3 linked regions of the Diceros bicornis minor genome follow. The protein of the gene in region 1 purifies or fractionates together with the protein of each later gene. This does not show direct contact. Links are inferred from orthologs where the notes say so. Each region holds a gene or a part of one and is shown in the gene's direction. Other genes may lie near its edges. The genes, in order: BNIP1, USE1 and NBAS.

Region 1 (7,528 bases):
TCAGGACCTGACCTCTCAAGACCACTCCTCATAGGGGCCTCTGTCATGGTCTGGGAACTTTAAGGAGCTGGGTGAGCCAGGGCAGTATAGTCCTTAGGAAACTAAACCTTCTGTGGGTAGCACCCAGTTAGGTGGGTCATTCAGTTGTCCCTCCTCACCAACAGTGATTTCAGAACCAGGAGAGCTAGTTGGCCAGAAAGAAAGACATTAGTTGGGAAATACTTTAATATCCCAGCTGAAAGGTTCAGAATAGGAAGAGGGCATTAGAAAGTCTAGAAGGCTAGGGTGGCATTCATTAAGCCCCTGCTAGGTGCTCTCCCATCAGGGAACTCAGCTGCTGCTCTCAGTGGCGCAGTGAGGTAAGCAGTCATGTCCACTTTACAGAAGAGTCAGATGAGACTCAGATGAGGCCACTCACCCCAGACCCAGCTTATGTGATAGACAACTCTAATTTAAATTCCAGTCTGCTTGCCGCACTCAGAGACGATTCTTACTCATCTCTAAGGGACCAGGCCAAGTCACAGGCGATTTGGTTGGATGTCAATATAGGAGGAAAATAATGGGTTTAGAATCTGAAAATCAGAACTAAAGCCAAAACCTAGCAGATGTAGTAACCAAAAGCTGATCTCAGGATCAGTGGATAAAGATGATGGGAGCAAAACAGCGTTGGCAGTAGTCAGTAATTGGGGATGTGGGTCACCAAATTGCATGTCTATCACTCAAAGATGGCCTCTAGCTTAAGGGCTTAGAATTGGGGCTCTGTTAGAAGAGAGTGTGTTGAAGGGTGGAGAAAAAGGGAGCTATCTTTTCTTTAATTGCTGCATTGAGAGGCAATTGGGGACTGTTGATTGCGTAGGAGTTTCCAGCAAGAAGCCTGATGTGAAAGGGGCCCAAGGTCATGTGGGCAGATCTGCTGCCTGCAGACTTTGGGCTTCTTCCTGTCCTAAATAGGGAGCTTCTATTTGAGGATCCAAAACAGTTGAGTGACCTGAAAAACGTCAAACTTGGTTTCTTTAAAAGGTTTTAGTCTTAAAACATCACCAGGAATGAACTTAACAGAAAATGTACAAGGCCTAGATAAAGAAAACTTTAAAATATTATGAAGGACACAGAAGAAGACTTGAACAAATGGAAAGACAGACCAAGTTTTTGAACAGGAGCAGTCAATGACATAAAGTTGTCAGTCCTCCTAAGTTAAAAAATTTAATGCCATCTTAAAACATACCAGGGGGTTAAAAAAAAAAGTTCACCTGGGGAAAAAAATAATAGCTGCAAGATGCTGGGGAATAAAAAAAGAAAAGCAGTGTTCATGTTAACCTATTAAAACACATAAAACTATAATAATTAAAAGTGTCATTTTGGTGCATGAGTGAATAGACAGGCCAATAGAACAGAATGGAAAGTCTAGAAATAAATTCAAACATAAGAGTTCAGTATGGTAAATGAGGCATCCAGAATCAGTGAGAAAAAGATGGATTCTTCAGGAAATAGTGTTGGAACAACTGGGTAACACTCTGGAAAGAGTAAAGTTAGCTCTATACCTCACCCCATAAGCCAACATATATTTCAAAATGGGTAAAGATCTAAATGTTTAAAAAAAAAAAAAAAACCGTAAAAACACTAGAAGGAAATGTGGGCAATTCCTTTAAACCCCTACAGTGTGAGGAAGGCCTTTCTAACTTGGATCCCAAATCCAGGAGTCATAAATGAAGATTGATAAATTCTATGTTAAACAAAAATAAAAAACTTAAAACTTCTTTAAGGCCAAAAAACACCATAAGCTAAGTCAAAAAAAATTTTTTTTTTTTTTTAGGTCTTGAATCTTGATTTAATAAAGTTTGTACCATATCAAATAATATCAAAAGTCTAAGAAAACACGATGGGTTTTTACATCATGTTTATAAATTATTGTTTATATACCATAAAAAAAAAATAAGGTCAAAAGTGCAGTTTAGGGCCGGCCCCGTGGCTTAGCGGTTAAGTGCGTGCGCTCCGCTACTGGCGGCCGGGGTTCGGATCCCGGGCGCGCACCGACGCACCGCTTCTCTGGCCATGCTGAGGCTGCGTCCCACATGCAGCAACTAGAAGGATGTGCAGCTATGACATGCAACTATCTACTGGGGCTTTGGGGAAGAAAAAAGGAGGAGGATTGGCAATAGATGTTAGCTCAGAGCCGGTCTTCCTCAGCAAAAAGAGGAGGATTAGCGTGGATATTAGCTCAGGGCTGATCTTCCTCACCAAAAAAAAAAAAAAAAAAAAAGTGCAGTTTAAAAGAAAAGTGGAAGTTGTTATTCTTGGTAAGAACTAGAAAAATGTATTGTCCCAAGTAAGAAGCAATCTAAAGGCTTATACAGTTTCTTAGGAATTTTCCTTTAACTCTCATACAACTTTGGCTACCATATGCCATAAGAAAAACCAATAATACAAAGAGAGCTAAATAATCTTCTTATAAAAATAATAGGAAACACAGATCTGGTGATAACAAACATTGGAAATAAACATAATTATAGAACTCCTCCCAAAAATTAAATGCGCTAAGTCAAAATTTTATAGACTAGGGAAAAAGCTCATCTCCAAGGGCTAATCCTCCTAATATATAAAGAGCTCCTAGAAACTGATGTGAAAAAGACCAACAACCCAATAGAGAAATGAGCAGACAATAGAGTAAATACAAATACCTCTCAAGCTTGTTCATGATAAGAGAAATGCAAATTAAGAGATGGCATTTTTCACTTAATCAGACTGGCAAAAATCCCAGCGTTTAACACACTGTGTTGGTGAGGCCCTGGGGAAGTAGGCATTTATACCACATTGCTGGTGGGAGTGTAAACTGATATAACCTCTACGAAGAGCAATTTGGTAACATATATCAGAAATTTAAAATGCACATATCCTTTGACCTAGCAATTCCATTTGCATTGGGCAACTCATTGTTCTCTCTGTGCCTGTTTCCTCGTGTAAAATGTGGTTAATTCTACCTCATAGAGTTGTTGTGAGAATTAGATGATACACATAAAGCATTTAGTATAAAGTGCCTGGCACATAGGAAGTGCTCCAAAAATGTCAGTTAGTAATATAATAATGGCAGCTAATGCACACAGAGCTCTTACCACATGCCACATTACTACACTGTGCTTGGTGCTTTTCATGTATTACCTCATTTCACCCTCCCACCAAGCCAGTGATTACCCCCAGTCAGCCTCTGAGGAGACTGAGGCACAGAGATGTGAAGTGGGTTGTGGAGCAGGATTCAAGCCAAGGCAGACGCCCAAGCCTGCAATACACCGCCTCTCTATTAGGTGCAGTGGGGTGATGAACACCTTCAGGGAGGGTGTGCGGCGTGCTGGAGGAACACAGATAGGCGAGCACACAGCCCCCCTTGTACACTACCCAAAGGCCATATTTGGTTCTTAAGGGAAGATGTGGCTTTCAGGCAAGGCACTGCCACTTTCAAGTTGGGTACCGTGGGGCAGGGATGTCCGGTTTTGCTTTGTTTTGATCTACTCTTAGTCCATCTCCCAGTCTGTAAAACTGGAGTATCACCTATTTCAAGCGTGGTTGTGCGGATTAAAAGAAACACAGCTAGGCCCTCAGGGTGTCACAATCTATGCTTGCTGAACTGAAGTGAACAAAAGTGAATGGGGCTGGGGGCAAGTGGGGAAAAGCATTCAAGAACAGGGAACAGCACATTCCAAGGCTACATATCCAAAAAGAGCTTGAAGGATCTCGGGAGGAGGTGGGGCTGGGTGAGGTGGCTGATGGCCTTGAGGACCAGCTAAGAAACTTGGGACTATTTAATAATAAAAGTAAAATGAAAGAGCCTCCATTTGTTGAGGGTCTGCTCTTAATTATTTCCATCAAAACTACATTAATCCACCAAAACTACTCGGGTGATGTAGACTTAATAAATCCAGTTGTACACAAAAGGGAACCGCCAGGAGCCATAGAAGGGGTCCAAGCTGGGAGGTGACTTGATTAGTTACGCGTTTTAGAAAGATCCCTCGGACCATGTGTTGGACTAGTGGCCTGCCTTGAATTCCAGACACTAAAAAAAGTAATAATAACAACGTTTACCATTTTTTCTTTTACTCCACAATTCATAGTCACTGTAGAAGATATGAAAACACAAGGAAGTTTCAAGAAATACAAAAAATTGTTAATTCCACCTTCCAGAAATATCCCAATTGATACTTTTCTTCCAGCCTTTCCCCCGCCCATGTAAAAAATATGTAGTCATTAGAATGGCTGATAGGCGGAAGATGGGGAACGTTAAACGCTGTTAAAACGCTCTTCGATTCCCTCTTCCCTTCCTCTGCGTTTTACTAGGATCACGCCAAGAGGAGAGGCTGAGTCCCCGACGTGTCAGGGAAAGTCCCCAGCACCGAGCGCGGCACCCTCGCACGCCCCAGACCGGGCTCTAGGGGGCGCTGCCGTGAGACCGGGCGGGGAGGGAAGGCCGGGGCGCGAGAACGCGTTTGCACTTGGGCACTGTCGCTGCCCGTAGCTGGCGTCCCCAACATGGCGGCTCCCCAAGATGTCCACGTCCGGATCTGCAACCAAGAAATTGTCAAATTCGACCTGGAGGTGAAGGCGCTTATCCAGGTACTAATTCCCGAGACCGCTGCCGGGCCCCAGCGTCCCTAAGTCCAAGCTCCGCTGGCCTTCTGTGAGCTCGGTGGTCTCACTCCCTAGCTCTCCCCGCTTGGTCAAGTCTCCGAGGTCGCTGGCCCCACGCCATGGCCGGCTATCCCCTTGTTGTTACGCTTGAGTCCCGTCCCCTTGACCGTTGGCCTTGATCCTCCATCCAGTGCTGTCGGCTCGCCCTCTTCCGGGACACCCCCGGGTCCCCCGCCCCTGACCAGGCTTCCCCTGTGGCCCCGTTTGGTCCCTCCCACACATACCCCTGATCGTCGCCTCGCCCCCGAGCGCCTCACAACATACCTGTCACCCTGCTTGGCCCTGTTTTCTGACACCGCCCTCTCCATCATCTGGTAGCCTCCTGGGACCATGAGCCCCGCCCCCTGCTGGCCAGCTCCGCTGGTCCCGTGCTTCGTGGCACCCAAGGCTACTTGGCGCTGGAAGCACCGGGGAAATGAACGTAACCTGGACCGTAGTGGGGATTTTGAAATGAGGAAATCACGTAGACTGCCAAGGCCTAGGTCAGAAGGCAGATAGTGAAAGTCAGCCTAGAGAAGGGACTTAGAGAGCCTCTACTCCTCGGTTTAATAGGGTAATTGAGGTGCGTTGCCTTAGGCCATTTAAGGGTGGAAGGCAGTAGTGCAATAAACCAGTTGACACAGGCAAGAGGTAGGAATGGAGAAATGGTTCCTTGAGTTTAGCAAAAAGAAACCAAGAGTCTTAAAGCTTGGTTTAAGGGAAAGCGTTTCCATTTCCAACAAATGTTACTAAGCATTGGATGTAGACTCAGAGTTTGCAACTAGCTTCGACAAAAAGCGAAAGAAAGTAGGACTCCTCAGGGAAACCAGACGCAAAATAAACCAAATAAGTGGTTCATCGTAGGGTGCAAGGAAGTGTGATTTACGAGTGAGCCAGAGAACAAGTGAGGACACTTGATGCAAACATTTTAACTTCTTGAACTTCATGTCTCCCATGTATAAACTACAAAACTTCTGGGCCAATTCTAGTAAAATAAATTTAGGATTTATACAAATGAAATCACTTTTTCACATAATCTAAATTGCTTAAATCCCCTTTTGTACTCTCTAACATTTGGGCTCTCGTGATTGCTAATGAGAAAGATTGATCATAGCTAGATTTATTGTACTCTTACTTTGTTCCAGCTCCTCTGCTAAGCACTTCACATACATCCGTGGTCTGTGAGCTAGGTAATGTTGTGATGAGGAAACTCAGGCTCAGAGAACTCAAATGACTTTTTCAAGGTTTCACAGCTAATAAGTTGCTTCAGCCAGGATTTGAATCCACATAGTTTAGCTCCAGAGCCTGCTCTAAATCCTGGCCCTAGTAATTCTGAATGTCCAGAAACAAATTCTAAATCATATTCTAAATTGAACATGTCTGTAAACACTGTGATTTATAATATGTGGTTTGAAAGATCAGATAAGATGTTAGTCTTGTCATATTAGGCCAGGAATTTAGCATCCTGGTTTTCCAGTTGGAAAAATCTAAAGTTGTAGGATCACTTTTGGGTGTCCATTCTTGTTGGACACACAAGCTGCTTTAAGCCTTTCATACTGGCCAGGTGGTGTTTTGTTAAACTTTAGGAACTCGTAAGTCAAGACAGAATTGTGTTTCTTCCCTTCTTTTTTTCTTTTTTTGAGGTAAAATTGGTATATAACATTATAAAAGTTTCAAGTATACAACATTATAATTTGATATTTGTATACACTACAAAGTGATCACCACCGTAAGTCTAGTTACCATCCATCACTATACAGTTGATCCTGTCCCCCCATTGCGCCTGTCCCCCAACCCCCTTCCCCTCTGGTACCACCAGTCTGTTCTCTGTATCTATGAGTTTGTTTTTGTTTTGTGTGTTTGTTTTATTTTTTTTAATTTTTTTAAATTTTATTTATTTATTTATTTTTTCCCCCAAAGCACCAGTAGATAGTTGTATGTCATAGTTGCACATCCTTCTAGTTGCTATATGTGGGACTCGGCCTCAGCATGGCGGGAGAAGTGGCGCGTTGGTGCGTGCCCGGGATCCGAACCCAGGCCGCCAGCAGCAGAGCGTGCACTCTTAACCACTAAGCCACGGGGCCGGCCCTGTTTTATTTTTTAGATTCCACATATGAGTGAAATCATATGGTATTTGTCTTTCTCATCTGACTTATTTCACTTAGCATAATACCTTAAGGGTCCATCCATGTTGTTGCAAATGGCAAATATTCCTTTTTTATGGCTGAGTAGTATTCTCTTGTATATAGAGTTGTTTTTCTTTTTATGCTTTTATATTACCTGCTCAAAATTAATCTAAAGAAGGATGAGAAAAATGAAAATGATAATGTTTTTGCTTGTGTTGCAGAGGTAAAGAGCAAAGATTAGGATGAATTACAGTCAGTAGGCCAACCTTAGGTGTGGTCTACACCAACTCTCTCACTGTACAGATGGTGTCATTTCATTTCGTTGCCTTAAGAAAGACCCTCTCATCTCTTCAATGTCTCCTAGGATATTCGAGACTGTTCAGGACCATTAAGCGCACTCACTGAACTGAATACTCAAGTGAAAGAGAAGTTTCAGCAGTTGCGGCACAGAATACAGGTGAGTGGCTGCAAAACTGGGATGCTGAGAATGGGCAGCAGTGAACGGGGCTGGGTCCTGGCACTCACCTCTGCCTGCGTGCTGTCCAGGTTCTTCAGTGAACGCTTAGACAGCCAGGGTGACTGTACTAACCTGCTATCCAGGTCAAAATGAGGAACTTTTACATGCAGAGCCAGCTGTGTTAACAAGTTAACAGCAAGTTAACACTGCCAGCTGTCTTAAGTGGATGGCAGGGACACCATTGTCCCTGGAATTTTTCAACTTGAAAACTCTGAAGCTACTTCAACTG
Region 2 (7,287 bases), on another chromosome or scaffold:
CCTGGCCAGGGGCCTCAAGGCAGCAGGGTTAGAGGCCCATTCCCAGCCTCAGGCAAACGCCCCTCTCAGAGGGCAGCGGGCGACCTGTCACTCTCTTGGCAGTGGTTCGGGTCATTCTTCAGCTCCATCCCTTGCTGACCTGGGCCCCCGCCCACAAGGAAACGTTCCCACAGCAGAAGTGGCTCCACACTAGGGAGTGGGGGGTGGGGGAGCGGGTGGGGGCGGGTCCTGGGCTACTGTGGGAGGACCCTTATCTTTGTCCCTGCGGTCAGATGTGGCCCGGTGTCCTTGACGCACACCTTTGTCAGGGTCAGTGGCCCCCAGTGGTCACCCTCTGTTCATCTCTCCCCCAGCCATGGCCTCTCAAACTGGGGTTTTCGTCTCCCTATGAGGCGATGCTGGTATGTACACGCTTAGCAGCCGCCCTGCATGTCTCCCCCAGCGGTGCATGCTGGGGTTCCCCTTGGCCCAGGGCCCTTGTAGGATAGACCTAGTGTGTCCTGACCTTTCCGAAGTGCATGCTGGGGGAGGCCTGTGCCTGCTGACCACCTGTGTGAGAAGGACGACTAACCAGCAGAGCGCCGGCCACCCCCTCCCCGCGTGACCCTGGAGAAGCCTCACTAAGCCCACTGTCCACGTCAGAACTAATCTCCCAGGCCGCTCACACCGCCCTCTCTGCCAGCCCAGGGGGCCGGCCAGACCTGCTGCTTCTCTGTTGCAGAACAAGAGCCCCAAGGCCCGGGTGAGTAGCAGCGGCGGCCTGGAGGAGCTGGACGTGCTGCCAGAGGAGGAGGTGGCCGGTGGCGACGAGGACCGCGAGAAGGAGATGCTCATGGAGCGGATCCAGTCCATCAAGGAAGAGAAGCAAGTGTTCCTCCATCCCCTTCCAGCGCCCTCCACCACAGGGAGCCTGGCCCTTAGAGGCTGCCAGGCTAGGCTCCTCGCATCGTCCAGGACCCACTTCAACGGGTGCCGCTGTCCTGAAACCCCATGCTTGACCACAGGGAACCACGGTGACCCACACCGTGGGAGAGCTGAGGCGACAGAGGGGTGATGCCCAGACTTTGTCCAGAAGTTGGCCTTAGTTAGGGTGACTAATTTGTTGTCCAGTCAAGATGTGAAGGGGGGTGTTATTAAAAATGCTGCCAAGAGAATAGGAGTGACCCAGGCCGCCCCGTCACCCTAGTCTTAGGAACAGGGGAGGGCAATGCAGGTGGAGGGAAACACGTGCAAAGGTCCTGAGGCAGAAGCTCCTCACCAGCTCAGTCCTGGCCCAGGTGCCTGGCTTCCCTCAGCAGCCGGACACCTTCTTCCCGTCAGCTTCACAGGGCCGGGGTGATTTGGGCCAGGTGTGCTTTGGGGGTGGAAGTGGGGTGCTGGGGGCAGGGAGTACCATCCAGGACCAGGACGGCCTGCTCTGTACCCTACCAGCCTGGCACTTTCCGTGGGGTGGTCTTTCGCCATGGGAACAGCCTCGGACACTGTGACCTCCTCCCCAGGGAGGACATCACCTACCGGCTGCCGGAGCTGGACCCGCGGGGCTCCGATGAGGAGAACCTGGACTCGGAGACGTCGGCCAGCACCGAGAGCCTGTTGGAGGAGCGGGCTGGGCGGGGGGCCTCGGAAGGTCAGTATTAAGGTAGCGTCTGCTTTTTTCCTTCCCGTGTCCACCACCGCCGGCCCCGGGGCGAGGGACCATGTGGCGGCCCTGAAGCTGCAGTAACCCTGCCATCTGTCTCTCAAAAGGGCCCCCTGCGCCTGCTCTCCCCTGCCCCAGTGTACCCACCCCGAGCCCCCTCCCCACGGCGGCCGCCCCTCCGCGACGAAGGCCGTCGTCCTTCATGACGGTCAGAGTGAAGACGCCCCGGCGGACCCCCATCATGCCCACGGCGAACATCAAGCTCCCACCTGGCCTGCCCTCCCACCTTCCCAGCCGGGCGCCGGGGCCCCAGGAGGCTGCTGCCCCGGTGAGACGCCGAGAGCCACCCGCCCGCCGCCCGGACCAGGTACACTCTGTGTATATCACGCCCTGCGCTCACCTGCCCGCGAGGGGTGCTCAGGAGCCCGTGGACAAGGACGACCGGCCACCTGGGGCCAAGCGAAGGTACTCGGACCCTCCCACCTACTGCCTGCCCCCCACCTCGGGCCAGGCCAACGGCTGAGGGCCCACAGCCGTCTGTCCACATGTCCGAGGACAGCCCAGAGCCAGCATTCAGCTCGCCGAGAAGGATCCGGAATGAAAAGCTGCAAGAGCGATGTGGGGGGGAGCAACGGCTCCCAGTGCAGGGTCGAGGCCGGGAGAGGCCAGCTGAGGCTGGGCCGCCCTCGCTGAGCCTCCACGCTGCGCAATCGCGCCCACCCAGAGCACGGAATCACGGCGGGCCACCTAGCATCTCCCACCTCCCATTTTGTAATTTTTTACAGTAACTGTTTTTTTGTGCGTGGTTTACATAACTTTAAACTGTAACAGCCTTAACGGAAGACCAAATTGTTTTTTATATGTGTCTGTACGACCTTTTATATTAACGCGCTGCATCTCCTTTATAACCTGGACATCAGTCTTCAAAGCTAAGCCCACGCAGCCGCCACGCTTCAGAGGCTCAGCCCTGCGCTGGGAGCGCTCTGGGCGGTCCAGGGCCAGGACCCTGCACGAGGGGTTTAGACACTCGGGCCGCATGACCGCCTTTCTCTCTCTTGGACTCGTCCTCTGGCCGGGGTGCATTTGAGGGAGCGCCAGAGCCCTCCGTGGGGATCAAGGCTGTTGGCTGAGCCAGGACACAAAGCGGGGGGGAGCAGCCTCCACCCGGGGCACCACAGACCTCACGTCCCAGGGAGGCTCCAATGTGGCCGTCATCCTCTGCCCATCCTGGACTCCAGAGGCTGGAGGAGGGCACCCTTGGCACTGCCCCCACCCCCCCCACCTCCACCGTGTGGCAGAACAGGAGCCAGCGACTCAGGACCGCTCACCGGCGGGGAGGGCAAGGCCTGTGTTGTCCCCCTCAGGTCAACAGTGGCAGCCTGGGGATCTCCAGAGGGATGCCCTCAGGTTTGGCCCACTCCCCAGGACACATGTATCCCCTGGACACATGACCACAGGTCTGGGACAAGAGGCACCCAGAGCCGTGTGAAATAAAGACAAAGCGCCTGAGAGATTTGTGTGTGGCTCCTGCTCAAAACACTCCTGGTTGGAGGAGTGGGGCTTCGGTGGGGGCACCCTGCAGCCTCTGCCAAGAGGGGTGCAGGGCAGGGGGTTGTGCCCCTTGTCTGGAAGAACCTGCCTTGATCCTCAGCAAATGCTGCTGTTGGGATCTCCCACGTGCTCCTCACCTGGGCAGGTGGGCTTGTGGAGGTGCTTGACCTGGACATCTGGGGAGAGGGCAGCTCCTGCAGAGTGGCATTCAGTGAGGGGAGCCTGCTGTCCTGGGGGCTGCCTCCTGTCGCCCTGTTTCAGCACCAGCCTCTCCTCAGCTGGGGCGTAAGCGTCAGGTGCAGGGCCATGGGCCAGGGGGGGAGTCTGTTCCTGGTGGGCCGGCAGAGCCAGAGGCCCCCACACATCAGCCGCAGATGAGCTCCCAGGCTGCGATCAGATGGGCAGGTGGGGGACGTGGCTCGCGGGTGGGGCCTGTGAGGGTGGGGTCAGGGGACCGTGAAGAACTTGAGTCCAGACGGCACATGCCAGAGGGTTGGGGGCTTGTCCAAGACCACACAGGTGCGGTGGGGTGGGGCTGGGGTTCAGACCCTGCCCATCTGCCTCTGGAGCCCCCTTTATCCATCCTGGGTTTGGCCTCCTCCGTGGTACTTTGCGAGGACATTAGGCACACCAGTGTGACCAGGACACCGGTGACCTGAGGGCTGCATGCCAGGCTCCGATCCCGTGAAGCCTCCATCCTCACCGCGTCCACTCCAGGAGCGGGGCTCGTGGGACTGGCCTCGGCTTCCTGGGCACCTGGGTGGGCTGGAACTGGCTTCTCTTCACGGGGGTCTGAACGTTAGGGGTGACCCGGCCCCGCCTCCTGCTCGCAGGGCTAGTTCGTGTGCCCCTTGAGACAGGCACTGTCCCACTCCCCATTCCCCAAGGGAGGAAACAGGCCCAGAAACAGCGGGGGACGGAGTCTGGCGCCCGGAAGCTCACAACCGCAGAAGATTGGATGGGCCCCTAAGCCAGCCCAGGGCCTCTCCCCCGGAAGAAGTCGGGGAAGGCTGGCCGGATGCGCAAAACCTCAGTGTGGGAAGAATCCAGGCAGCAGTGGATGTGGGGGAGGCACTTTGAGCAGGGGGAAAGGAATGAGCAAAGGACACGTTGTACGTGGGCCTGAAACCGCAGGACCTGGTCCTTTCAACCATTCCTGAGGGTTAAGATGCTCTGGAGGAAAAGCAGGCGATTCAGCCCTGAGTAACTATGGACGAGGATGGCGCCTCTCCTTGAAATAAAATATTATTGCCACCCCAAAGAAAGATGGAACGGCGAGCGAGCTGAGCTCATCCAACCGGAAGGAAGCCAAATGAAGGCACTTCCGCCATCTCTTAAGATGGCGCCGGCGGAAGGGGCGAGGTAGCACCGTGGGGGTGATGGCAGCGTCGAGGCTGGAGCTCAACTTGGTGCGGCTGCTGTGCCGCTGCGAGGCGATGGCAGCGGAGAAGAGGGACCCGGACGAGTGGCGTCTGGAGAAGGTGGGAGAAGCCCGCGGGGCAGCGTAGAGCCTGACTCCGGGACAGTGGGCCCGGAGCTGGCGGCCACCGGTTCCGACTCCCCTGCCCCAACAGCCACCCTGGCCACGCCCCTTCCGGTCGGCGCCGCTACGTCCACCTGCAGCTCCCGTCTCTGGGGTTCCGCTGGCCGCGCCTCCTTGACGCTTGGCCCCTCCCACTTCCGAGCCCCGCCCCTTGCTGGCTCTGGCCCCTTTGAGCAGGATGGGAAGAAGTGGGGGTGTGGGACCGGGCTGACGCTGCGCTGTCTCTCCCCAGTACGTGGGAGCCCTCGAGGACATGCTGCAGGCCTTGAAAGCCCAGGCGAGGTGAGTGCCGGCGGCCACTGGGGTTTCAAATCCGGGGTCGGGGTAGAGCCCTGGGCTCCGGTTCCTGCTGGACCCTTCCCTGAACTGGGACCGTGGGCAGGTTTTCTTTGTCCTCTTCTCGCCTTCTAGCAAACCGGTCTCCGAGGTGATCAATGAGTATGCCCGCAAGGTGGATTTTCTGAAGGGGATGCTGCAGGCAGAGAAGCTGGTGAGCGGGGACGGCCGCCTCCTCAGCCCTCCTCACCCCCAGGACCTGCCCCTCTGGTGACCCCTCATCCCTCTTCTTCAGACCTCCTCCTCCGACAAGGCACTAGCCAACCAGTTCCTGGCTCCTGGCCGCGTGCCCACCACAGCCCGGGAGCGGATACCTGCCACGAAGACAGTGCATCTGCAGTCACGGGCCCGGTACACCAGCGAGATGCGGGATGAGCTGCTGGGTGCGGTAGGACACTCTCCTGGTCCCTGAGGGCCCTTTGGTCAGCGACAGGAGTTCAGGGCCTGGGGCTGGCCAGAACAACAAATACTGTCAGGTGCAGGGACCCTAAGGAGCCCAATAGCCTCCGCCCTGGGCCATCAGGGCTTGATAAATGAACAGGAGTCGGGTACAAGGCAAAAATGACGTGTCCGGTTACGACGAGTGTTTTCATCTGTAAAACAGGATAAGTGTCTTTCTGAGCACTTTACGTGGATCAGGTAAACCCTTCACAACAGGAGCTGTTGGACCAGCCCGGTGGCTTAGCGGTTAAGTGCTCGCGCTCTGCTACTGGCAGCCCGGGTTCGGATCCCGGGCGCACACCAACGTACCGCTTCTCCTGCCATGCTGAGGCCGCGTCCCACATACAGCAACTAGGAGGATGTGCAACTATGACATACAACTATCTACTGGGGCTTTGGGGGACAAAATAAATAAATAAATAAAATTATACAACAGGAGCTGTTGTTACCGATTTATAGACTAAAAAACAGGCTCAGAGGTCATGAGACTTCCCCAGGGCTCTGACTATGGGTGGGGAGTGTCTGAGAGCAGAAAGGACAGGTTTAGGGGCATGACAAAGTGGGTGACTTCACGCTCTCCCTTTTTGCCACAGGACTCTTCTGGAGGTGAGTCGGCCTGAGCAGAACAGGACTTGAGGCCCAGCTGCCTGGGACCAGACATGTGTCCTTGCTGCCCCCATCCCTGGTGCCTGGCCTCACTCCCACAGCCCAGGCAGAGTGTCCCTGGGGGTGTTACTGAGTTATGCCTAGAGGGGGGGCTAGGACAGAGGAGGTGGCCCCCAGAGGAAGCAAAGCTGGAAACTCCCAGCCCACGGGCCAAAGTTAGGCTGCAGGGAGGGACCTGGGGCCGGGGGAGCCCAGCTGGGGGTGAGGAGAACCCCCTAGAAGAGAGCGCGTTTGAGCTCGAGCTTTGAGGCATGGTCAGGAGCCCAGCAGGCAGCAGACAGGACTGGAAAGGGCATTGTGAGTGGCAGGCCTGTGACGGGCAGTGGCCAGGAGGCTGGTCAACAGGAAACCAACCCGCTCTCGTTTCTGCCGGGCCTGTTTCCCTGCAGAGCCCGAGCTGGACGTGCGGAAGAGAAGGTGAGTGTCCTCTGCCCTTGGGCAGCACTGGGGGCCGGGGGGCTGGACGAGCCTTGGGCCCCTGAGGCGCCACCATGAGCATCTAAACCGCCCATCAGAAGCCACTTCTGGGGGTGCTGTTCCCAGAAGCCAGAGCAAAGAAGGGGTAACTGAGCCCCAAGCAGGGCAGTGGCCGGAGCTATAGCCTCTGGGCTCCCTGGGAACGTGTTGGTCTCTTCCCCTCCCCCACCCCACCTCGTGCCCACCTGCCCACCCATGTGTGGGGTCAGTGGGGTGGCAGGGCCCAGGCCAGGAAATGAAAAGCAGTCGGCGGCCGAGTTAGACCTCATCCTGCAGCGACACCAGGACCTCCAGGAGAAGCTGGCAGAGGAGATGCTAGGCCTGGCCCGGAGCCTCAAGACCAACACACTGGCCGCCCAGAGTGTCATCAAGAAGGACAACCAGGTGTGAGGAGTGTGGGAGCTTTGCAGCCTCTGTCCTGGGGCATCAGAGAAGGTTTCCCAGCAGAGGGGCATTGTGGCTGGGGCTTGGCTGGCTGGAGTTTGGTAGAAAGCAAGAATGGCATTCTCAGCAGAGGAAACAGCACCAACAAGGGCCGAGAGGTGCAGACTTGCTGCAGGGTGGTAGGGAGAGGCCACACTTGGCCCCAGTCCTGTTGATGCTCTCCCCACCTCACCTGCAGACCCTGTCGCAC
Region 3 (7,320 bases), on another chromosome or scaffold:
ATGGGAAATATTTTCTGTATTTTTCCTTCCCTTCATCAAACGCTTATAAAAAAACAGATTACTTTTCATTAAAATGGATATATCACAGTACCTTCTCTATTAATAATTTGAACGTTACACAAAAACTGTGTTTCAATTCTAGCTTCACCACTACCAGTGTGCAACCTTGTTTGAGTCACAGTGATTTAAAGCCTCAGTTTCTTATTAACTCTTTCTTTGCAGCACTGTAGAGAGGAGCAGAGAGATAAGGTATAGCAAAGTATCTGGTACAGTGCTTGGAGCAGAGTAGACACACAAAATGTAGCTATTATTATTATCATTATGCCTATTTTGGGATTGTCTCAATTTTTATTTCAGTCTTAGTTCCTGAAGCAGTTCACAGAGTTACCATTTGCATTGGTTATTTGGAAAACATAATTTTTTCCTTTTAGAATGACTTACTCATGACTTAAAATGTCTTCAAGCCTCACCTGGACCTTCAGCTAAATTAAGAAGTTGGTTAGATGACCATGATAATGATACCGAACCAAGTGGGCTCGCCTCCTGGTGAGTTAAATAAGACTCTACACCAGTGGAAGTTGTCGCACAAAGTAAAGTGCATTTGCAGCAAGTAGGGGGCCATGAGGAATCATTTCCAAAGTCATGGCATCCTCAAACAGGGGAAAGCAGGAATTTTTATTTGGTTGGGGAATGAATATTCAAAAAGGAGAGGCGGGTATTTGCAGAAAGAAGCACAGGATCAAGACCTGAAGAATTATGTTTGAATTTTGGCTTTGTTGTGATCTTGGATTTCTCTAAGTTTCAGTTTCCTTATCTAGGAAATGGAGATCTGCATCTCTCTCTTGAGTTTCTATCTGTCCATCTCAGCAGTGGCTGTGAGGACAAAAGAGCTTAGTAAGCCATGAATACTGTCAATGTATTAATGTAATAGTACTATCAATGTACTATTAACTACTGACTCAACTCAGAAGCAACATTGCAGAGATTCTAAATTAGGTAATCTGCAAAATCCACTGGTAGAAATGTCAAGAGAAGAGTGGTTTCAATGCATTGAAACTTAACTTTAGTTTAAGGGGAATGCACTGGTTCACTTAACTGGGAAGATGGAGGCATGCAGATGTCACCTATTTCAGGCATGCTAATATCAAATGATGTCTCTGTCTCCTGTGTTTTTCTCAATGTGTGGTTTCATTTTGTTACCATCGCAGACAGGTTTTCCCTCTATAGTGAATAAAACGGCCACTGACAAGCCCAAATTTGTATTTTTCAAACTCTATGATCCAAAATAAAGGTGTTTTTTCCTCCACTTCCATGAAAAAAAAAACAAACCCCAAATCCCCGGGAAGCATTCTCAACCCATTGCTTGAAGTCAGGGGAATGGGGCTCTTTGAGTGCGCAGACCCGGATCAAGGAGGCGGAGTCTGGGGATTGGCAGCCCCACTGGAATACATGACTTGGGTGAAGGAAGAGCAGTTGGAGCAGTTCTCCAAGGAAGCAAAAGGCCTGGGCAGATGAAAATGACAGCTGTCACTGTAAGTCTGAGGGCAGAAAGAAGGGAAATATGATGGAGAAGAGACTCTTGCTGTCCTAATGAAATGCCCAAGGTCTCTTCATTAGATCAGTCACTCTTCTGTTTAAGATTAGTGTGACCATCATCTCAGTTTGCCCAGGACAGTCCTGTTTCATGCCTGTTTTCCTAGCATAGTTATTAAAGTCATCCCTTTTCATTCCCCAAAGTGTCTCAGTTTGGACAATTAACTATATAGTCACTACAGATAAGACCAATTAGCAATTTGGTTTAAGCCACCCAACCTGTCTTAAATCATCTTGTTCTTTTGACTCAGCTGAACTTTGACTTGAAATCTGATCACTTCTCTGCCTTTTCTTTTCCAACCCCAGTGTCTGCTATTCTGCATTTAGAGCTCTTCTCATGACACACATATTCTTACCACCTTCTTCACTGTTGTTGGTCATCTCACGTTCTTTTCCTCCAAGAACTTCTGGATTTTAAACAGTGGCGAAGAAGGCTTCACAACCTGCCCATCTGCATCTCTGGTAGTAGAATTTTCCTTGCAGCAATTACTCCAAGTTAAATGTATAGTCACTCTTCAAATAATGCTGTTTCAGCCTGCTCCTTTTTTGTTTCCTTAGAATATAAGCTCCGTGAGGTCAGCCAGGCATGGACTTTTGTTTCCTGTTCTGTGGTACAAACTAAGGTAAATGGGGTAAGGGTAAGGATGGATAAAGAAATTAACATAGTGTGATGATTCTTGGTGATGTCTTTGCAGTTGTCCCCTTTGCATGCCAGCTGAGAAGATGCTTGCTTGGCCAGCCACCTCCTGGCTGTGGTTGTGCTGATCACATGCAAGTGGTGAAGAGAATGGATGAAGCAGAAGGCAATGCCAATTTCTATCAGAGAAAGGATGAGATAGGGAAGGGAGTAAAGAGCCAAGGAAACTTGGTGTGCAGAAATGGGAGGGGGCAGTATTGAGGCCCTGTACCACTCCAGGGGCCACCTTTAAGACTGTATTCCAAGTGAAGGATGTTCCTACCTCTTCACATTCCACATCCTGCAATGTGAGATATGCTCCCGGGAGCTGTGCAACTTGTCAGCTCTGGTGGGATGGGGAGAGGAGATGTCTGGTGTCTGCAACTGAGGGTTTGATAAAAAGACAAGGCTGCTGTGAAGAGAAGTACTTTGGGGATACAATGTATAAAAATGTATTTTGGGGAAACTTTTCATTTATTCAACAAATAATATATATTTTGTCCTCTGCTCTGTGCCAGGCACTGTTATAAACTCTGGGGATGTAGCAGGGATGTACATAGCATCTATACATACATAGTAGAGCACTCCGTTCTGGTAGAACCTACATTTTAGTGAATGAGGACAGACAATAAACTCATATAATAAAACATAAATTATACAGCATTTTAGGTGATGACAAAGTGTTATGGCAAAAAAAAAATAGAGCTAGTAAGGGAGATCTGGAGATGGGGAAGGTGGTTTCAAATTTAAAAATGAGCAGTCAGGTAAAGCTTCAGGGAGAAGGTGACATTTGAGCAAAACTTTGGAGATGAGGGGGAGACCCAGAGAAATATCTGGTAGGAAGTCTTCCAACCAGAGGGAACAACCCATGCAAAGTCCCTTAAGTGGAAGTGTGTCTGGTGTGTTCAGAAACAGCAAAGCCAGTGTGGCTGAAGGTAGCAGGGGGAAGCAGCAGATGAGGTGAAAGAGTAAGGGGGTGCAGGCAGGTGATGGAGGGCTTGCTTTGAGGTCACTGAGCTTTGAGAGAAATGGGAGCCATTAGACGCTTCCTAGTGGAGGCTTTTAAATGCATCATTGCCTAATGCATCCTGATGGACATTATGCAACATAATTCTCGTAAGATAGCTTCAGTATTTGTGTTTCTTTTGAATGTGACACTGCTAATTTCTTGTGCACTGTATATTCAATCAGGTTACAATAGGCTCTGCTTATATACAGGGCTTCCCACATAGAGGCAGTTGTTGAATGAATGAATGGACAAATGAATGAACAAGCAAGGCTGGCATTTTATCTCCCTCCATGGAGGTCCTCAACCTATCATTTCAACCTTATTGCCCCACACCCTTTCTCTACTTGGGTTCTATCCAGCTGCCTGCTCTTTCAACTAGATATTTCTGTCACTGTCTTTGCTTAGCCCATTTGCCCCCACTTGAAATGCTCTCCCCAACCTTCTCCACTTGATTCAAATTCTACCTGTTGTTCAAGACCCAGGACAAGCTCCACTTCCTGCAGGGAGCCCTTTCAGACCCTCTGGACTTCCGTGCCTTTTCTGAACTCCTATAGCACCATTCCTCTGGTACCTTTCATTGGCTTAATCTGTTGCATTGCATAAATTTTTGGTGTTTATTTAAAAAAACCACTGTTTGTACTCTTTCTGTGTACAATACATAAGTGACAACGAATACATAAGTGAACGCCAGCATCTCAGGGATGCTTTTACCATTTATCATTTACCAATACTTTTACCATTTCTGTTTTATAGAAGCCGACTGGATAAGAGAGGCTCAGACTTGGCTGATCTCGAGCAGACTAATTAACAAGGAGTACAGCGGGACAGACAGTCGTTACCCAGACAAGCAGTAGTCATTGTTCTTCCTATTCATAAAAAGGTTAACCTAGCATTTCCTTTCCACGTCCAGTTAACTCCACCCTCTTTCCAGTGAATCAAAAACGGCCGCGGCTAAGGAAGCTTGTCCATTGCGGGATGCCGTAGTGACACTCTCTCAGCGGCTGGGTCCCGGGCGAACATGGCGGCCTCCGAGTCAGCGCCGGCTGTGATTCCAGGCGCTGCGGAGGGCGAGGAGGAGACAATTCTCTATGACTTGTTGGTCAACACCGAGTGGCCCCCGGAGACAGAAGTACAGGTGACCCCGGCCCCTGCAGAGCTGCGGCCAGCTTGGCGCGGATGCTGCCCGGGCAGAGCCTCGTAGCGGGAACCACGCAGGGGAGTGGAGCTGGGTGGGCGGGGGAGCGGGGCTCTGCAGCTTGCGTGGTCACGCTGGTAACGGCACGGCGGGCTAGCCGGGGCCTGGGTCCCCTAAGGGGTGTTCCCAAGATTCCTCCTGGGCTGCGAATTCGGTGGTCGGGTGGCGCAACCCCGGGTTCTGGAACACGTACCTTCCCACTCTGGTTCTGTTTCACTGCCCTTTACTTGGAGGGGAGGCACGGCATTGGACTAGAAGGTCGTCATTTTTAGACTCTTCGGTAGTCCCTTCCCATCGCCCGACAGGACTGGCCAGGGCTGATTGTCATCTGCAGTGGGAGAATTTTCCAGGTCCCTACAGTCGTCTCAACATCTGGCGGGCTGCCGCGGAGCATGGCATCTAACCTTTACTCCTACTTGGGGCTGAATTGCGCCAGTTCTTGTGTATTTCAATAAACAGGCATTTAATAAGTGTATGTGTGTCCATCTGTGTCAGATACTGTGCCAGGCGCTGGGCATACAGAGGTGCATAACTCGTGGTTCTTGCAGTCTAGAGGGGAGACAAGTCAGTGAACATTTCTCATAACCTAGTGTAATAGGCGCTATAATAGCGGTGTAAGCAAAATGCCTTGGGAGTGAAGAGTAACGAGCTACTGACCGGGGTGGGTTTCTCTCCTAGAGAAGGGTTGTAACCTGAAGTGGACCTTGAGGTTATCAATTGTTCCACAGAGAGGGCCTCCCAGGCACGAGGTGAAGAGTAGCAACCCGGAATCCACCTTTATTCAACAGATGTATTGAGTGCCTAACATATGCCAGTCACTGTTTTAGACTCAGAGGATGCAGCAAGATCAAAAAGGACCTTTGTTAGAGATCATGGAGTCCTGCCCATATGAATTCTTTTTTACAACGTCTTTCTTGAGTGTTTCTTTACTGGAAAAACTACTCATTCTCCTATACTGTTTGTAGTTTTTCTTTAACCTCCTTCTCACTGCAGTTTCTGTTTGTCTTGAATAATATATTTTATAGGCTGGCAGAGATCTGCATATATTATTGTTTTTCAAGTATTACTTTCTGTTTGTTTTGAACAATGTGAATATTTTGTAGGTTATGCAGCTTGAAAGCTGTTGCTGCTGCTATTGGCTGGATAAGGATACATTTCTACCCCTTAGCACTCACTGGTTAATTACAATAATATTTCAGAATGCTTAATATTATTGATTTTTAAAAAAATAAGCACAGCATCAACTTACATTGAATTTTCATAGCACTTTGTTTTGTTTTGTTTGGTTCTATTGATTTCAAGTGTTGAACTACAAGCTCTTTGAGGGCAGCTACAGCTGATTCATTTTTATATCCCTCCCCAGGACCAACCTGGGTCTTACGTGAAGTGGATGATCAGTTTGTTTGTTGAATGAAATAACTTTTATGTGCTTTTAAGCCATATCTGTCTGCACTTACTGTATGTGCATTGTTCCTTTCTTAACAACACATTAGTAGATCTTACTCATTATTTGTAGTGCCTAGTATTATTTAGCCTACACAATGTTTAGTCTATACTTAAGGAACTATTTAATATAGCAATTATATGTCAGTGTGTGTTAGTAGCATTTTCTCTGTGGATAGACAACAGATATTCAATAAATTTGCCTCAAGACGTGAGATGAGTAATCCGTATGATTACTTTTCCTGCAAGCAAAACTTGTTTTAAGTAGACTGTGCTGAACTGGCAACCAGTATGGTCTTTGCTCTTGACTTCTCTTGTCTTTGGACTGGTGTTTTGATTTGGAAACAGTTTCCAGCTTCAGTCCTCGTCCTCCCTTCTAAAGTCCTCCTGACAAATGCCTGTACGTCTGCCATGCTCACTTTTACTTCCACTGTTCCCAGTCCTGCTTCTACTTGTTTTGTTTTTATCCATAAGTACTTTTTAAATACTAGTGACTTGTACCCAGTACTCTGAGTTTTAGCAAAGAAATGTAACTTTACATATTGTGTAAATATTACTAGAAAAATCCCATATGAAAGTTTTTTTTTGTTTTTTGTTTCCAATTGTAGCCTAGAGGCAACCGAAAACATGGTGCGTCCTTTATCATCACAAAAGCAATTAAAGGTAAGTATAGCTTATTTATTTTTCTGCATATACTGATATAGTTAGCAGATAATTATTTTCCACTTCATTCATAACTGTATTGTTTTAGAAAGTTTAGGAATTTTAAAATGTGTTCTTCAGACTTCTAATTTAGAGCATGATAAATATGTATATATCTTAATTATAGATATGATATGTATCTACGTATGTGAGTGTGAGTGTATATATACACACATATACACATGTGTGTATGTATATATATGTATACACACATATACATATATATACATACACATACACATTTTTAATGCAGCTTAGAGCTAAAGTATGGCCTGAGTTGAACCATTATGGATGTGTTCTAGAAGAAGTGAAGAAAATCAAACCCCGTGCGAGTCTCAGAGTCTATGGACATTGAAGGTGAAAGACAGTGACAGGACATTTTAAGAGGTTTACATGATATTTCAGATACACCCGGTCAGAGTTGTTCAGATTACAAATTTGATTAACCAGGGCATTCATTTAACTTCTGACAAAATTGACATAGAACTCACAGGATCTGAGAAAGTTTTGAGCACTAGCCGCCTTAAGCTGGTGTTGTGAGGGCTTTAAGTATATTAGTTCATGTTATCCTTTACCAGACTAGCAAGGTAGGTGCTGTTATGAGTTTCTGTTTATAGATGAGGAAACTTGCCCAAAGTCATTCATTTGGAGTTTGGCTGCATGTGTTTCTGCTCCAAAGCCCGTCTTTATTATACCAGTGAA

The links.
Region 2: the proteins of BNIP1 (region 1) and USE1 purify together in Homo sapiens (co-immunoprecipitation; 4 studies listed by BioGRID and IntAct, counting the BioPlex papers as one, with this or other methods). This does not show direct contact. The link is inferred for Diceros bicornis minor from reciprocal best matches to the Homo sapiens genes BNIP1 and USE1.
Region 3: the proteins of BNIP1 (region 1) and NBAS purify together in Homo sapiens (co-immunoprecipitation; 3 studies listed by BioGRID and IntAct, with this or other methods). This does not show direct contact. The link is inferred for Diceros bicornis minor from reciprocal best matches to the Homo sapiens genes BNIP1 and NBAS.

What each region holds. Positions count from the first base shown.
Region 1 is NC_080740.1:86,935,866-86,943,393, forward strand, and holds the start of BNIP1 (vesicle transport protein SEC20), read left to right. Parts: upstream 1-4,494; 5' UTR 4,495-4,518; coding exon 4,519-4,602; intron 4,603-7,146; coding exon 7,147-7,239; intron 7,240-7,528. UniProt on the Homo sapiens protein: As part of a SNARE complex may be involved in endoplasmic reticulum membranes fusion and be required for the maintenance of endoplasmic reticulum organization. Also plays a role in apoptosis.
Region 2 is NC_080759.1:5,216,550-5,223,836, forward strand, and holds the start of USE1 (vesicle transport protein USE1), read left to right. Parts: upstream 1-4,276; 5' UTR 4,277-4,569; coding exon 4,570-4,671; intron 4,672-4,965; coding exon 4,966-5,015; intron 5,016-5,144; coding exon 5,145-5,223; intron 5,224-5,304; coding exon 5,305-5,457; intron 5,458-6,103; coding exon 6,104-6,116; intron 6,117-6,565; coding exon 6,566-6,593; intron 6,594-6,862; coding exon 6,863-7,037; intron 7,038-7,275; coding exon 7,276-7,287. Other genes in the region: MYO9B (unconventional myosin-IXb), read left to right, coding at 354-401, 722-868, 1,504-1,627, 1,747-2,162.
Region 3 is NC_080751.1:65,496,544-65,503,863, forward strand, and holds the start of NBAS (NBAS subunit of NRZ tethering complex), read left to right. Parts: upstream 1-4,279; 5' UTR 4,280-4,296; coding exon 4,297-4,413; intron 4,414-6,524; coding exon 6,525-6,579; intron 6,580-7,320. UniProt on the Homo sapiens protein: Involved in Golgi-to-endoplasmic reticulum (ER) retrograde transport; the function is proposed to depend on its association in the NRZ complex which is believed to play a role in SNARE assembly at the ER. Required for normal embryonic development.